Linked DNA regions of Cricetulus griseus. The protein of the gene in region 2 binds, or shares a complex with, the protein of the main gene of each other region. Links are inferred from orthologs where the notes say so. Each region holds a gene or a part of one and is shown on either strand. Other genes may lie near its edges.

Region 1 (5,523 bases), on a different chromosome or scaffold from region 2:
AACCACGTAGTCATGTAATTCCTCTGAGCTGTGAGTGTCCTCTGGGTGTGACCAGGAGACAAAGGGCATATACAAATGGTTCCATGTCATGGCCACTCCTTGTGGTCAGAGTTGTCTGGTCTGATTTTAAACTCAGACCTCTTGGGTGCTGCAGATGAGTACCCTACAAAGACCTGCGCTCAGATGATTTAAGAGGGTCAATGTGCTCCCTAATGGGAACATCTGGAAATCATATCAATGGAACCACCCAGAATCATAAGTCCCCGCAACAACACGGATGGGGACTGCCTCTGGTAACAAAAGAAAAAACATGCCAGACTGTGAATGGGTGGAAAGAATTTCTGTTAAGGACTGGAATTTCCTCTCTGGATGGCAGGCCCACAGCTAGAGAAGGGTGTGGCTTGGGGGGGGTGGTTATTTGTAGGTGCAGAAAAAGAGAACAGCCAACTTCTACTCAAGTCTCCCAGTTGATTGTGAAGAACAGGTTAAATCCAGTTTATTTAGACACCTCTTTGGGATAAGCTCAGCTCCATGTCTAGGTCTGTGAAACAACTGTATAGAAGCTGGGAATGGAGACCCAGCTGGTTTTGTGAGTAAATATTAGTTTAGGAAAATACAAAATGTCAAATCAAATTGCTATCTCTACAATTAACACACGTATCTTTTCTTTTTTTTTCTTTCCCTAAAAGATTCAAAATCTGAAAGGCAAGGGCTGTGTTTGTATGTACAAGCACACAGTGAACGAATATGCATGCATGTGTGTCTAGTCTACTACTGTATCCTCAGTACCATAACTGTGATTGGGACACAGTGGGTACGTAAAAGACAGTTTGTAAGACAAATGGATGCTGAAAGCAGCCCACAGTGCCTGGGACTCCTTTTGTAACACACCCACTCTCCCCAGATGAAACAGGTCTGGCACCCAGCACAAGCCAAGAATTAGAGCCAAAGTTCCCATCAACCCTCACACACATTAATGCAGGCCCAAAGGTGCAGAGAGAGATGAGAGTTCTCAAAAATCAATAGCAATTTAGGAGAGTGCCTGTCTTGCCAGGAAAACTACTTAAATCGGAACTTAGTCAGGAAGCCAGTGGCCAAGACTGCATGTGTAATGCCAATCAATAGGGTATTTTAATAACTCAAAGACACAGGATGTGAAACATTGAGAGGCACCAGTCCAAACCCAAGCTCTCAGTCAAAGCCTTAAGTGCTGCCTGGCTAGTTAGCAAAACTTCCTGAACTTCTCTCTCTACCACACCAAACAGGAAACCCTCAACAGAAAGGTGCGCACCTAGGAGGTTGCCCCTGCTGCAGCAGAGGCGACGGGCTCTTCTAAAGAAACCCCGGGATCTAAGGTGAGCAGTGGACTCAGTGGAAGAGGACGGGGCTCTGCCCTGATCTCATCTGCCATCTTCAGGTTCCCTGACTCAGACCCACAGGCTTTGGCTGGGCGCAGCACACACTGAAATGAAGAGGAAGTGGGTGTGGAGGAGGGGCCGCTCAAGTGTCCAAAGCCAACGTAACACATCAAGGGACACAGACCGCAAGAAGGTGGCAGGGAAGCAGGAAAAAGAAACCAGAGAAGGGGGCAAAGACACAAGTTTTCAATTAACACGATTTAATCAAATCTATATTTAAAACTAAACGGAGAAAACCCTGAAAACCGCATCAGTGATTTATTATTCCTACCCATGGACCACCCCTCGCCCTCCCATCTTGTATCCTGCTCCTTGCCATTAGGCAGCACTCAGATACAGTGCAAATTAATTAATTGGGGTGGGGGAGTGTGCTAGCATGGGTTTCCAAACTCCTTCTATAGTGTTCCTGGGGGAGAGCCGGGAAGTGGCTTCCCAGTCCAAGTTGCAGACTCATCTGATAATACCCCTGTATGTTAAAGGCTGAGGACCTTGGATTCCAAGAGTTTATGGTTGTTGTTAAGGGCTGGGACTGAATATGGCAAATTACTACACAAATGAATAACTTTCTGGTTATTCTGGTTCTGGGAATAAAAGCCTGGATCTTGTGTGTCTTAGTGGGGTACTCTACCAATGAGCTAGATCAGCTCTCCGTTTTGTTTGTTTGTTTTTTGAGACGGGGGTCAGGGGGAGGATGGTGTCTCACTTTGTAGCTCAGGCTGGATTCAAACTCAGGATCTTGCTGCCTCGGTCTTCCGAGTTTTGAGATTACCGCTATGTCTCAAGTAACAGCTTTTTGTTTTCTTTTATATTTGTACAACGCTGTGTTTTCAGTGTGCTTTACTTATCTATTTTTGAATGAACTTGTTTTCGGAAATCTTCAATAACTCAGTGTGGGTGGAGCTAAGAACAAGGGTTCGGAAACCACTTTTATAGATAAAGAAACTTCTGGAGCCACAGCCCTCCATGCCAGCATTGGAACCTGGGGCTCAGGAGCCACGCCCTTTTCTATAGACTCTGTCAATTGACTCATGGTGGCTTCAGTGCAGTCAAGGCAACTTTCTCTACTGAACCACCCGGGGATACTTCTTTCTGCACACGTTCCAGGGCGGCAAACTCCTCAGAAAGAATAGGGTCTGAGGTCGCTGTCCTACCAAACAATCTAGAGTTCGCGACAAAGACTGAGCTGAGATTGTTTTGTGTAAAGGAGGGCACCAAGAACTCAAGACTTGAAGTTCTGGTGCCGCCGCCCCCGCCCTCGCCCGGTTCCCCGCGCCGACTTCACAAATTTACGTTTGTCAGTAGCAAAGAAATACACCTGAAATTGCAGGAGTTATGGTTCAGAGTGAGAGGACGACGCAGTTCGGAAGGCGGAGGGGAAAAGTCCACAGATGTCTCACTGTTGGGCTGCAGGCTCCCCAGCGGCCACACCCAGTCCCCCGTTGGCACCTAGCACCTCTGGAATGCCGAGCCCCTCGGTTCCCCGCCCCACACAGGGTCTCCCTGCTTCTCAGGGGACCTCAAGGGGAAGCACAGTCTCCTCCACCTCTGCCCTGCACCCCCCCCAGGCGTGGTATGCAAAGAGACGTGTCACGACCCCACACGGGACACTTTGCAACTCTGTGGCAGGACGCGTAGATCGCCCAAGGGGATGGATCCTTCTTGGTGCCTCCCAGGGTCCCCGTCGTCGGAGCCTGCCCGCTCCCGGTTCAACACCGAAACCCCGAGGCCATAGCGGATGACCGGGCCGCGCCCCACTTACCTGGGCCGGGCGCCTAGCGCTGAAAGCCTCCCCAGAAGCCGAGCGGCCCGGCTGGGCTGGGTGGGGCTTTTATACCCGCCCCATCCTCCCTGCGTAAAGCCGCCACGCCTCCCCTCCCCTCCCCGGCCTGTGCCCACCCTGCTCCGGGTGACTCACCCTCTCTGGAACGCCGCCCAGTCCCGGCCCTGCCCTACGTGACAGCCTCACCACCTTCCCAGGCCCATCAAGCCTCCACCTCCCTACCCCCCTTACTCCTAGGGTATTGGGCCCAGTGGTCAGCCTGGCCCTCGGCTGTTAAGATTTCAGCAGACTGGCTTGCCCAATCCACTTCTTCTTTTGTTTATAGGCTTCTAGATGTCGAGGTAATGGAGGGTAGAATTGTTTCAAGACACACATACTTGGATTCCCCTGAGTTAGGCTGTTGGCACCCAGCTCTCCATGACCGTCTGCAAACATATTAGTTTAACCTCTGGTCACCAGATGGAGGAGCATGGGGTGGGCGGTTTATTTGAAACGACCTAGAGAGCCTAATGGGCCTAGGAAACTGCATGAAGGCCTCCAAGCAGTCAGGGAGACTCAGAGGTAAGGCACCCCCCCCCCACCCAGGTGCCTCCTTCCCCCAGACAGCAGCACTTCAGAGCACTCTACAAGACCTCCTACCGTCTTTCCTAATTGTAGATTATTAGGGTTTTGTTTTTCTCATTCCCTTGACCAATTGCTTCTCTGGGTTTTATTTTATTTTTTCATTTTTTCCTAGCCTGATTTTCAGGGGCAGTCACACGGACAATGCAGGAGTGAACTATGTCTGTGTGTGACTGCCCATACTGCATCAAACCTCAGGCTAACAGAAGAATCCAGAACACCTTTCACACTGGGTCTTTAAGCTGCACATTTCACCTCTCTCTCTTTTCTCCTGGTCCTAATGGTTCTTTATCATCTCTCCCATCTATTTGTGTGAGCCTGTAGTTCACATGTGGAAGCCAACCAGATGTCAGCCTCAGGGACGCTGTTCCTCAGGAGTTATTTGAGACAAGGTGCCTGGAGCTCACAAATTAGGTTTAGACTGGCTGGTTAGTAACCATTTTACCTGCCTGAATTGAGGATGGAACTCAGGTTCCTTTGCTTTGGCCACAAGCTCTTTACCAGCTGAGCTATCTTCTCAGCCCTGCTCCCAACTGACTACAACATCTGTTTATACTTTGTACTCCTCTCTCAGTTCATTCCGAGGATAGCAGGATAGCCAGGGAAAGAGATGCTCAGTACTGTGCTTACTGTCACATAGCCAGTTAGCTGTGAAGTCAGCCCCAACTGGGGTCCCAACATCCAGCTCAGGCTCTAGGTTGCCCAGCCTTGCCACTAGAAGTTACATGTGAGCCCCAGCAGAATAACAAGTAGAAAAAAGGACATTATCACTTTTGATACAATGTTTGATTTACATTCACAGCTCTTCATTATGGACAGCTTTAAAGACAAAAACCATGTTTATCTATCACTGGGTGTGAACGCCTTGGAACAGAAGAAGATTCAGGCACACAGTATCAAAAAGCAGTTGTCTGCCTCTGAGTTATTTCTCCACCCAGCCCCACAGGCCACATACTCCTGCTTGTGTGTGGGAGGGTGGGAGGTCCTCCACCGGAAATGACACTTAGCTGACATCATGCGAAATGTATAAAAGTCACCGAACAGCCAAAAGAATTTCTGGCTTATCCTGGACATCTGGCAAAGCTTAATGTATGTGGCCAGGCTTCATTGACATCCTGTTCAACTTTTCGGTGTCCTCAATCAAAAAAAGAGGCAGTTAGAAGTCACACTTGGCTATTTCTGAGGAATGTGAGACTGGTTCTGCTAGTATGAAGGACTTCTGAATCTCCATCCACAGATTGTCTTATTTGTTTCTTTGAAGCATCTCCCTCTACTTTGCACATGGCAGACTGCCGTGGGTTAAACACTGAAGAAGTCTTAGAGTGAATCCCTGAGGGACCATGTCATGTCTTTCTGGAGTCTTAACATATTTCAACATATTTCAACTTTTGATTTTATGTGTATGGGTGTTTTGGCTTCGTATATATATCTGCAGATCACATGCTTGTCTGGTGCCATTAGAGGCAAGAAGAGGGTTTCACATCCCCTGGAAGTGGAATTATAGATGTTTTGATCCACTGTGTGGGTGCTGAGAATCAAACCTGACTCCTCTGGAGAACAAGCCAGTGCCTTTTTTATGGTTTTTTTTGTTTGTTTGTTTGTTTGTTTTTGTTTTTGGAGACAGGGTTTCTCTGTGTAGCTTTGGAGCCTATCCTGGCACTCACTCTGGAGACCAGGCTGGCCTCGAACTCACAGAGATCCACC
Region 2 (5,308 bases):
GACTGCATCACAGTGCCTTATGCCAGCAGAGGAACTGTACACTCCAGCTCACTGAGATAGCATTTGGGTGATTGAAGGGAGGGGCCAGGCCATTTATTTAACTGATATTGACAATATGTAAAAGCAATCTTCTCCAAAGCCCCGTGTTTATTAGTGTAAGGGCCAGGACCTTAGATAACGTGATATTTATCAGGTAAATGTCAAGAGGCTAGATCCAGCCTTTTACCTTTACCTTTCAGAAACTAATGCATTATTGAACACCCAGTACAAGAACCATCCTTTCTTTCCAGGAAAAGAAGGGATCATACCACAGTCTGCTATTATATCAAGCTATGCTTTGTCTTGGGTGAGCATTAAATTCAACAACTGTCTCTTGAGGACCCACAAAGTCAAAAGACAACCATGCCTAGCTGACTATTGTCTTGAGTGGCATATCTGAGGAGTCCTAGTCTTCAGGGGTTGTTCAGTGTGATCAAAGGGAGGTAAAACCTAGACTATACTTCTAGGCTCCTAAGTTGACATTTTCATTGTAAAAATCAATTATCTGGAGTGACATTTTGCCCTGATTCAGCCAACAATTAACAAGATCTCTTTATGTGAGCATTGGTAGCACACACCTTTAATCCCAGCACTCGGGAGGCAGACACAGGAAGATCTCTGTGAGTTCGAGACCAGCCTGGTCTACAAGAGCTAGTTCCAGGACAGCCTCCAAAGCCACAGAGAAACCCTGTCTCAAAAAACAAAACAAACAAACAAACAAAAAAGATCTCTTTATGGGTTAGAGCTGGAAAAAGAAGAAAAGTCTTTCTATAAATAGGGATTTTAAGAAGATTTGAGTAGATTGAGTAGAGGGAAGTTTCCCAGTAGAGCCCTGGCTTTGCATGAATGGGGCTCCAGGGTCAACACAAAGCTCACACCCACACACAAAGGAGATTCAAGTTGTTCAAGTGGCATATGACAAGAATGTGAAACCACTGTCATTAGTGTTAGGGACCTGAGGTGTGGCACCTTGATCCATGACACCCTTGTGAAAAGTCTTTTCCCTCTTGTTGTTCCAGTGGGTGTGGATATTTTCATCTGCAATCAGAGCACAGGGGTGGGGCCTTTTCCACTTTGCTGCCCCTGTGCTATCCTAGCACTGTCTACTAAGTAAATGAATGAAACACTTCCAAGTGGTGAGCCTACAGGGATGGAGACAATGGAAGGACAAGGGAAGGGACCTTGGATTTTTATGTCTGGTCTGAGACTTTCCACACTTACTTCCAAAAACCCAGGGAACTCCCTTTCCATGAGCACTCTGAGGTCCTCCTTTGTTAAGTAGTCTTTATCGCCCGCAAATCTGTGAAATGTAAGCATCATGGTTTCCATGGCATGCTCCATCTGAGACGGCATCTTGAAGAGGTCTGTTGAAACCTGTTAATGGACACAAAGAAAGAGTTTGCCTTAACCTTTAAACCACATGCTGGAAGTCTGTAGAGGGTGGTCGGAAAGGATAAAATAGGTCTAATCACCTTTCCAATAAAATTCAATCAATCTCAGGTCCTATTTGGGGTCTTTTGCTGGTGGCAAGACACTTCAGGTGCTGGACCTCAGAATGTGGGATTTGCCTGACTGTCAGCTTCTTTTCTCGGTTCCTAATCAAGATAAGAAGGCCTAACTTTCTAGAAAAGCAAGACAAGAGCTGCTCCTTTACTGGAAAGCACTGGATGAAAGATGATGTTTCCATATTTCCCCTGGCACTGAAAATGTGACTCTTAGAAATGGCTGAACCCCAACAAGCCACGAGTCCAGCCTGGTTAATACAGAAACTTCATCCCGCCACCCATGCCACAGGAGCCTGAACCAATACAATTTCAGAGATTAGAAATGTACTTACAGATGGACATGTCTGCTGGAAATGTATACTCTCCTAACGATCTGAACTTGTTCTCTGGCAGTCAGTGCAGCTGCTCTGCCTGAGTAAGCTTCATACATTCATTTTCAAGTTCAGCAGGGAAGGAATAGGTAAGAGGGTACACAAGCTCCTTTGGGTGCTGAATATGTTTCTGGTAGGACTATACAGAGCGTTTTCCTCATAAATTGGGGGTACAGTGAGAGAGTAAGGGTCTTTCCTGATGAGGAGTTTAAAGAGAGGAAAGGAATTTTAGGTCACCGCATGCTGGTATAATGAACTGGGACAAATGTTTCATCAAGACCCCATGCCTAATGGAGCTCAGTGTCCACATATAGTTTTGAGTACAGAAGGAGGGAGAGATTGGCTCCTTCCCCCACTGAAGAGCAATGATGGGAATTCGGGGTGTGCTTTGGTCTGATTCCTGATGCTGACAGATGCTTGTTCAGTACAGATCCCCAAGTTCTGAAACCCACCCCGACACACACTGAAACCTAGAACCTCACTCACCTGTGCCCATCTCCTATCACTGAACTACATCCCCCAGCTCTCTTTTCACTTTCTATTTTGAGACAGTCTCACTAAGTTGCCTAGGATGGCTTTAACTCAAGATCCTCCTGTTTCTGCCTCGTGAGTAGCTGGTATTGCAGGTCTGAACCACTAGGCCTGGCTTCTAAGTATTATCTTTTACAGAGTCAAAGGTGTAGTGCTGAAGGCTAGCACTGAAAAGTTAGATTTAAAGGTTGTAACTTGTTCCTCTTCGTCTCCAAGAAGGTAGAAGAACCAGCTACAGAAAATGCCACTTCTGAGAACACTGTCAATCAGGATCCGGCATGATTCATCTGCATGACTTGGATAGCAACAAGTTTACAATTCAAGGTGTCTAATGCCATGAAATTCAGAAGAGCCACTCCTTTTTCCCTCTCGTCCTGTACTGCTCAGATCCGCCCCACCTCCCCACTCCTAGATATGGGTTTTTGGCGGTGGCAGAGAGCTTAGTGGAAGTCTGCCTTGCTTGGATTGATTTGAAAGTGCAGGAATTGAACTGAACTGAGTAAGCCACCTAAAGAAGGATGTGGGGTGCCACCTCAGCCCTTTAACAATCCAGGAAAGGAGCCAGACACCAGTGAAGTTTAAAATGTCTATGTCCTCATTCAGAGCCAGAGAGCTCTCCTACCATGTCTGAAGGCGAAGATTCCAGATGACATCCCAGATGTTAGAACTGCGTGGACACCCATTGTACTTTCCTCACAGACATCAGGAAAGTGTATTGCAGAGCTAGAGAAGGAAGAGGAATGGCCAGGATAGGGATCCCCCAAATAGAAAAACAGTCATCTTAGTACTCTCTGGAAATGCAAGTTGATAGCCAAGGAAGTCCTGGCCTCGCTTGAATGTCCTCTTCAGGAGGGTGAGGTCAGGTTGCCTTAGCCAAGAACTGGTTCTCAGGTCTGAGGTCAATCCACTCCTTCCTTCCTTACCCAGCTGGTTATGAAGTGGCAGAGTCCCTTCCTGAAGCCCGTGTCTGCCCTTTTGTCCTTCCTGCTTGCCTGCCCTAGCTGTTTTGTTCCACACAGGTGAATAGAGCAGCTAACTGGCTCTCTGCTTGTTCAAGAGAACTTCAATAAGAACACAAGAGATAGGGGCTGGCCAGAAAAGGAAAATAGTTGAATTTCACAGGGGATGCCCTTGGTTCCAGAACAAGGAATTGTGCTGGAGAAAGTTTTAAAGTAAGGCCAAGGATCCAGGTAAGGTAGGGGAAGTCCCAAGAACTATGAACCTAGCACTCAGAGGTGCAATGGGGCTGAGGCAGGAAAAAATAGCCTTCTAGGCCAGTCTAGGCTGTATAGACTCTGTCTCAAGAATCAAAATAACAAATCAAAAAAGGAAGACAAAGGAAAACGTGATAATGAGGCTCTGTTGGATGACTGAACCACTCAGTACTTCTCCGGTGAAGTGGTCCCAGCCTAGCCTCCACTGTTTGGGTGGGGCTGTTATTACAACGCTCACTACAGACAGTTCCATAATCATTTACTAGAGTGCAAGCTTTTCAGGAACCTGAATCTGGCACCTGCACTCCACCTAACACCCCACAAACTCCACTCCAGATGGGTTGGGTCTTCCCCTTCTAGTTGGGTAATACTTTGTCACAAGGGCCTTGGGACTTGGTCTGAGAAGTAGGGGGCTCTGTTCAGTGTTGCTGACACCCCATTCCATACCTGGTATACACAATCAGATACAGTTCGAGACCCAATCTGCCTTGGCCCTACAGCTGCCTTAGTCCAGAACCACATATGACTCTGCTTCAGTTGAGAGATGACTAAATACCATTTGCTAAATGGATGGCTCAAAGTAGCTGAGATACAGATAAGACTATCCTTAGACAGCTGATGGCTTTGCAGCTCAGAGTTCAGCAGTTAGAGGAGATGAGTTCTGGGAAGGGCAGGGAAAGGGGCCTCAACAGGGTTCACCTATGAATGGCATGGCAGGGTACAGAGAGCACATTCCAAACACAAAGGAAAAAAATGTGTGTCCTGCTAAGCAAGTCTGGTCTGACGGCCATGCTTCTCACTCCTGCTCTTTCTCTTGTTTTCATTCCTCTCTCCTTCCACTGCCTCACTGGCTCCCAGGACAGACCTCTGGGCCCACTCACCTCTCCTTGAACTATTTTATTCTGATGTGTTTATGCCCTTCACATGTTAACTTGAGCAATGGGTCTCAACTGTCCCTCTCTGCAGAAAGCAATTCTGGTTTTGTTTCTCTTACACCTTATACACCTCACTTATGAGGTTTAGTACCAACAATATTCTCATTCTGTCCATTGGTCTTTCTGGGAGGGGCAGAAGGCAGGAAGGAGTCCCTCTTCCTGAGCAATTCCAAATGTCTGTCCTGGACCTATGCCCAGGTCAAGGCTATAAATCTCAGAAGCTGGAGGTCTGATTTACTTTGTTCATCTGTATTTTGTCCATATCGTACTGTTCTTGAAGCCAACCAGAATTAATTAGGGTGAACACAAACATTCATTATTTAAAAACATTTGAGTTTCTGTTCTTTTGTTTGGGGGAATTTGAAGAATCCTTTCTTTCTTTCCTTTTTTAATTGAACCCAGAGGATGCTCTTGAATCTGACCCTTAAAGTATATTTGGAGGAGGAGTGAGTTTAAAATAATGGATTTTGACTCAGGCTCTCTCACCAAATGAAACTTGTTTACTGGGGACTAGAGAAATGGCTCAGTGGTTAAGAGCACTGACTGGCTGCTCTTCCAGAGGTCCTGAATTCAATTCCCAGCAACCACATGGTGGCTCACACCCATCTGTAATGAGAGCTGGTGCCCTCTTCTGGTATGGATGAAAACAAAGCACCCATATATATAAAATAAAAATAAACAAATATTTTTTTTAAAAAACTTGCTTACTACAG
Region 3 (5,395 bases), about 65 Mb from region 2:
CTCTTCTGGGGTGCAGGCTGAACACTGTATAAATAATAAATAAATCTTAAAAAAAAAAAAGTTCTGAAACCATCAAGTACTCAGAGGGCTGAGACAAGTGGACCACTGTGAGCTCACTATGAGTTCAAGGTCAACCTGGACTACTTAGTGCTTGCCAGGTTAGGCTGTAGAGTCAAACCCCTTCCCCCAAGAACAACAAGAAACCATTTAACAAGCTTTATCATAAAGATACAAGGGAAGGGGAAAAGTAACAAAATCAACAAGATTCCGAAAAACAGACCTTGTTTTTGACACACAAATATGTAACAGGAAACAAGAGTGGACCTTACAGCCCATAACAGCCAAAGATAATATATTAACCCTGTTTTGAGCCTGATAAAAATACAGTTTTAATAATCAACAGAATCCAATTATTGATTGCTATGAAAATGAAACATAAAAACTAAGATGTATTTTATTTTTAATCATGTATACTTATGTATTCTATATGGGGGTATGTATGAGTACCCATGTATGCCAGAAGAGGGCACAGGACCTCTGGAACTGTAAAGGGAGTAGTCAGTGGCCAGCCATGAGTGAACAGAACTCCAGTCCTCTGCAAAAGCAGCCAAATGTTCTTAACTGCTGAGTCATCTCTTCAGCCCACAAACTGAATTTTAAAGAAATATATACTGAACTATACTAATATAAAATTTAGTATTTGTTTTTACAAAGATAAAGAAAAAAGAATAAAACAAATATAGAAAATACTTGATAACCTCTGACTTACTCTAATTTTATGTTTGAAATTTTCTCATGATAAACTGGATATTAGAAGTATTACCCAAATAACAAAGATGGCCATAATGAAGATTACAGTGCACAAAATTATATATATATAATACATACACACACATATATATATACTCTCAATCTGTCCTCTTTTTCTCACGAGCACACACACACACAATCAATTAGAGAACAGGAATAAATCGAAGAAAGAGCAGGAGCTATTCTATTGCAAAAATAAAGAACTCAAAAGTAAATAACTTATCTAATAAAAATTGATAGATTCGAAGTTGCTTCCTAAATTCAGCATATATTTTCTTCATTGGGACAAATCATTTAACCATCTACATCTCTACCTTCCATTAAGGAAGAGAACCTCAGTAATTACAAGAATCAAATGTCAGTATGGGCAAAAGTGCTTTATATACTGTAAGCATGGTACAAATGTACAAAATTAATCAAAGATGGTAAAGGTATTTAGAACAAGCCTTTGAGTGACATATTTCAGTCACTCAAAGTAAAACATTAATTGTATATATGTATACATAATATGTCACCATTTAATATAATTTACGGTTAAAACCATATGCATACAACAATTTTATTTAGTATCTACTCTTATACTCACTACTCCTGTGTAATAGCGCAGTCCAACAACTTGACCTCTCAAAGTTCCAAATAAAATGGGATCCAGCTCTTCATCACTAGTTAGGAAGTCATCTGGAGGGATAACGTCTTGGAACTCAAAACGTGGAAAGAAAGTTGGGTATGAAAGTCTTGGAAAATTTCCATGGGCTCCATATTGGACAGACTGCAAATACTTCCAAACAGGATCCCTATTAAAAAAAAAAAAAAAAACACAAAACAAAAACAAAAACAAAGCATACATTAAAACAATAGAACTTTCGGGGAGTTAGTGGCACACGCCTTTAATCCCAGCACTTGGGAGACAGAGACAGGCGGATCTCTGTGAGTTCCAGGCCAGCCTGGTCTCCAGCTCGAGTACCAGGATAGGCTCCAAAGCTACACAGAGAAACCCTGTCTCGAAAACCAAAAACAAACAAACAAACAAACAAACAAAAAAAAACAGAACTTAACCAAGTATTTCTCAAAGAACACAGTCAAACAGTATTTTCAGGCCAATCACTTCCTTACATTTTATTTTAGCAAGTGAAATGTTATGTGGCAAATACCACTTAACAATTACCCTGGCTAAAGCAAGAGCCGAGTAGGTAAAGCTACCAAATCTGACCTGTTAAATACTGGAAATTCTTTCCTGCGGAAATCTATTTACATTAAAATGTCAAAATCTTCAATGCCAACTAATGAAGAAGAGATTTATAAAAACAAAATTACCATTGTATATGTTTTTTTTTTTCTTTTTGTTTTTTTCGAGACAGGGTTTCTGTGTAGCCCTGGCTCACCTAGAAACTCACTCTGTAGACCAAGCTGGCCTTGAACTCAAGAGATCTGCTTGCCTCTGCCTTCTGAGAGGTGGGATTAAGGTCGTGCGCCCCATCGTCTGGCTATGAAAATATCTTTAGCCTTCGACATAAAGCATTCACAGCTTTAACTCCTGCAGAACAGCTATCTAAACTATGACATCATAGGAAGCTGACCTGCAGGCCCCCTTACCTATCTATCCATCACCCTGTTATTTTAAAGGTAACCAATCTTAAGGATCATTATTACAGGAGTGGGCATAAAAACCGCTGCAGGTGATCAAGTGATGTTTGCTGGAAGCCTTCTACAAGTTGTCTTTCCCCTAAAAGCACACGGGGCTATCCTTTGGGAGTCCCCGCTTCAGCTCTCCTCTGCAAGCACAGGCTCCTGCTCACTACTGTGAGACACTGGGTGTCGGGCTGTCTCGGAGCTGTCACGGTAACAATTCCTAGCGTATGGCGAGACAACAATGCCTAGAGCACAGTGGGTAGCCAATAGGTGTTCTGATGAATAAAGCTCTTCGGGTGGAGCTTTGGACCCCCACAACCGGTGATGGAGACCTCCCGAGGTGCTGGCAGCAGATTCTCGGGTCAGCCGAGACAACGCTTTGCGCAAGCCACACGTGCAAGCGACCCGGGGAGGGCATCCAAGCCGCACCTATCTTATCTATCTATCTATCTATCGTCCGCCCGCCGGGAGCGGGTTCACTGAAGACGGCGCGGGGCCCCGGGCCGCACGCCCCACCCCCTCAGCCCTTCACCTCTTGAACATCCAGGACATGGCGCCGGGCGGGGTGACCTCGGGATGCCCTGGGCGCCCGGACTTTCTCAGGCCGCCTGAAAAAGTCCCTCAGGGTCTCGCGGCCCAGGGACCGGGAACCAGATGCGAACCGCGAAGAAGCGACGCTCCAGACGCGGGTTTATTTAGAAGCCGACTCCCACTACTTCAGCAACAGTCTGAGAGGCCAGTGACGTTTTGTGATCGGCACTGAGATTGTCCAATCGGAATGAAGAATCTCTAAATACCAACCAATCAGGGTGCTAGAGGGTGGGGAGCTCCGCCCCATGCAGCGATTCAAAGGCAGTGGAGTGTTGGGGAGGTTCCATCCGGGTTCTTCCGCGCCCCGAGGGCGGTTGCGCGGGAAAACCTCGAGGTCTTTCAAGTGAGCCACTTGGCTAAAGGTTCCCTGCCCGCTGCAGAGGAAAGATTTCTTCCTGCCACTGCCCAAAACCATAAGGCTGTCTGTCCCCTGAGGTCTGAGCCTCCTTCGCCCACCCTATCTGAGATAATGCCTAAAGGGCCTCCCCTAGAAGGAGGAGCTCATTTCCTCTGAGATGCCCTATGTTTGTAATTAGGAACCTCGGTGTGTGGAGACCCTGAGTCCTAGAAATCTGAGGAAGAACACAATTTCCCTTTCTCACCTTATTTTCTAGTGTTTAAAGACATTTTCATCACTTAGTAGAAGAAAGCCATAAAATAGGACAGTCTTACAACTCTATTGCTGAGACTGGTCCAGCACTGGTGTAAGGTGAGGTGGCAGCTGTGGCCACTTGCGTTTTTTCTCGGGAAATTGAAGGAGACACTGTAAGAAAAACTTTATAAAGGGAAATTCGGCCTTAGGGTTGTGTGTGCATCAGTAACAGCCAAGGTAGAGGTGGTTCCTGTACCGTGTGTTAGACCCCCGAAAACTCAAGTATCTGGGGTCCTAGGCCACATTCGCGGTCACCCCAATCACCAGGCAGATTCCAGAGCTTGCTGCAAACTGCACGAGGCTTTATTGTAATTTAACAAGCTAACCCCATGTTAGCTCGGGTCTTTCACCCACCCGCCATGGCGGATGGCTAGCAAAAGACGCTCCTAGGGCCTCCCAAGAGATCTTATAGGACAGCGGAAGGGGAGTGTCTAGGGGTACGCACAGACTCAGGATTGGTGTGCCTCCAGGCTTGGAGGGCTTGCCCTGTGTTGATTGGTCAACTGGTTGTTATGGCCCATAGGCCCTCCCAGGGTGGTTGCTATGCTCTCCAAGTCATTGCTGTGCGCTTGTCTGTAAAGCACACCCAGGGTCGTAAAGCATAGCGCCACCAGCTAATTTCTGATTGGTTCCTTGTCACGAGGCAGGCATCTGACTTTCTAGTGTCTGGGACAAGGTCATTATGGCTGCCAAAAGGGAAGCTGGTCCCTTCATGTGAAAGACCACAAAAATACTACTGAAGTAGTCTTTTAACTGTTGCCGCTTCACCTGCACCTAAAATAGGAAGCTAGTGGTGGTGCTGAGCCAAACAAACATAATATGGTGTGCTGTAAACCATCAGAATTGCTAGATGTGTTTGTGAATGTTTTAAACACTGACAGCCAACCTTCCAAGAGTAGTTCATTTTGTGATTCTGTTGGCATAGTATGAAAGGTAGGTGGCTTGTGTGTGTTCGTTGTCTTACAAAATGATGATCTGTGCATTATTTAAGTGAAATGAGAGTATTTCAAGTGGACCACTGGCATGACATTGTGGGAAATACTAATGTCAACAACAACAACAAAAAAGAACAACAGACAAAAAACAATTCACTTTAACAGGCTTGGAAGGCAAATATCAGTAAGCATGGCCTGGGAACAGAGATTTAGATCACCCCAAATGCCTTGGTCACTAGGAGGTCAGATGCCTGCCCTGTGGCAAGGAACCAATCAGAAGTTAGCTGGTGGTGCTATGCTTTACGGCTCTAGCTGTGCTTTATGGACAAGTGCACAGCAATGATGCACAGAGCATAGCAATCACCCTGGGAGGGCCTAATGGGCCATAACAACCAGTTGACCAATCAACACAGGGCAAGTCTGGAGGCACACCAATCCTGAGCCTGTGTGTACCCCTAGACACTCCCCTTATACTGCCCTATAAGATCTCTATGCAGTGGCTTCGCAGTGTCTTCCCTAGCCATCCGCCATGGTGGATGGGTGAAAACCCTGAGATAACATGGGGTTAGCTCATTAAACAACTTCAATAAAGCCTCTTGCTGTTTGCATCAAGCTTTCGCCTCCGCATGGTGATTGGGGTGGCCTCAGTCCTGGACTGAGATCCTGGGGGCCTGAGCCTCTAGGGGTCTTTCACTCTCATATGCCTAAGGTGCTGACATTATCCTTAGCTTTTTAGTTTATTGAAAGCTAGTGCTGCCTGTACATTCCAAATGATTTA

What was found.
Region 1: the proteins of S100a10 (region 2) and Anxa2 are in contact, whole or in part, in a crystal structure (PDB 4FTG), measured with the Homo sapiens proteins. The link is inferred for Cricetulus griseus from reciprocal best matches to the Homo sapiens genes S100A10 and ANXA2. Residues at the interface, in NP_002957.1 of Homo sapiens: Phe39, Gly41, Phe42, Asn45, Gln46, Ala51, Lys54, Ile55, Leu79, Ala82, Cys83, Tyr86, Phe87, Met91; in NP_001002857.1 of Homo sapiens: Val4, Glu6, Ile7, Leu8, Lys10, Leu11, Ser12, Leu13.
Region 3: the proteins of S100a10 (region 2) and Hltf are in contact, whole or in part, in a crystal structure (PDB 4HRE), measured with the Homo sapiens proteins. The link is inferred for Cricetulus griseus from reciprocal best matches to the Homo sapiens genes S100A10 and HLTF. Residues at the interface, in NP_002957.1 of Homo sapiens: Phe42, Asp58, Leu59, Asp60, Gln61, Gln70, Ser74, Leu75, Ala77, Gly78, Leu79, Ile81, Ala82, Tyr86; in NP_001305864.1 of Homo sapiens: Thr32, Phe33, Phe34, Pro35, Phe37, Phe39.

Annotation. Positions count from the first base shown.
Region 1 is NC_048597.1:181,007,912-181,013,434, reverse strand, and holds the start of Anxa2 (annexin A2), read right to left. Parts: upstream 3,286-5,523; 5' UTR 3,178-3,285; intron 1-3,177. UniProt on the Homo sapiens protein: Calcium-regulated membrane-binding protein whose affinity for calcium is greatly enhanced by anionic phospholipids. It binds two calcium ions with high affinity. May be involved in heat-stress response.
Region 2 is NW_023276806.1:62,480,317-62,485,624, forward strand, and holds the start of S100a10 (protein S100-A10), read right to left. Parts: upstream 3,170-5,308; 5' UTR 3,072-3,169; coding exon 3,069-3,071; intron 1,635-3,068; exon of another isoform or gene 1,512-1,634; intron 1,414-1,511; coding exon 1,261-1,413; intron 1-1,260. UniProt on the Homo sapiens protein: Because S100A10 induces the dimerization of ANXA2/p36, it may function as a regulator of protein phosphorylation in that the ANXA2 monomer is the preferred target (in vitro) of tyrosine-specific kinase.
Region 3 is NW_023276806.1:127,935,696-127,941,090, forward strand, and holds the start of Hltf (helicase-like transcription factor), read right to left. Parts: upstream 3,172-5,395; 5' UTR 2,992-3,171; coding exon 2,972-2,991; intron 1,605-2,971; coding exon 1,397-1,604; intron 1-1,396. UniProt on the Homo sapiens protein: Has both helicase and E3 ubiquitin ligase activities. Possesses intrinsic ATP-dependent nucleosome-remodeling activity; This activity may be required for transcriptional activation or repression of specific target promoters.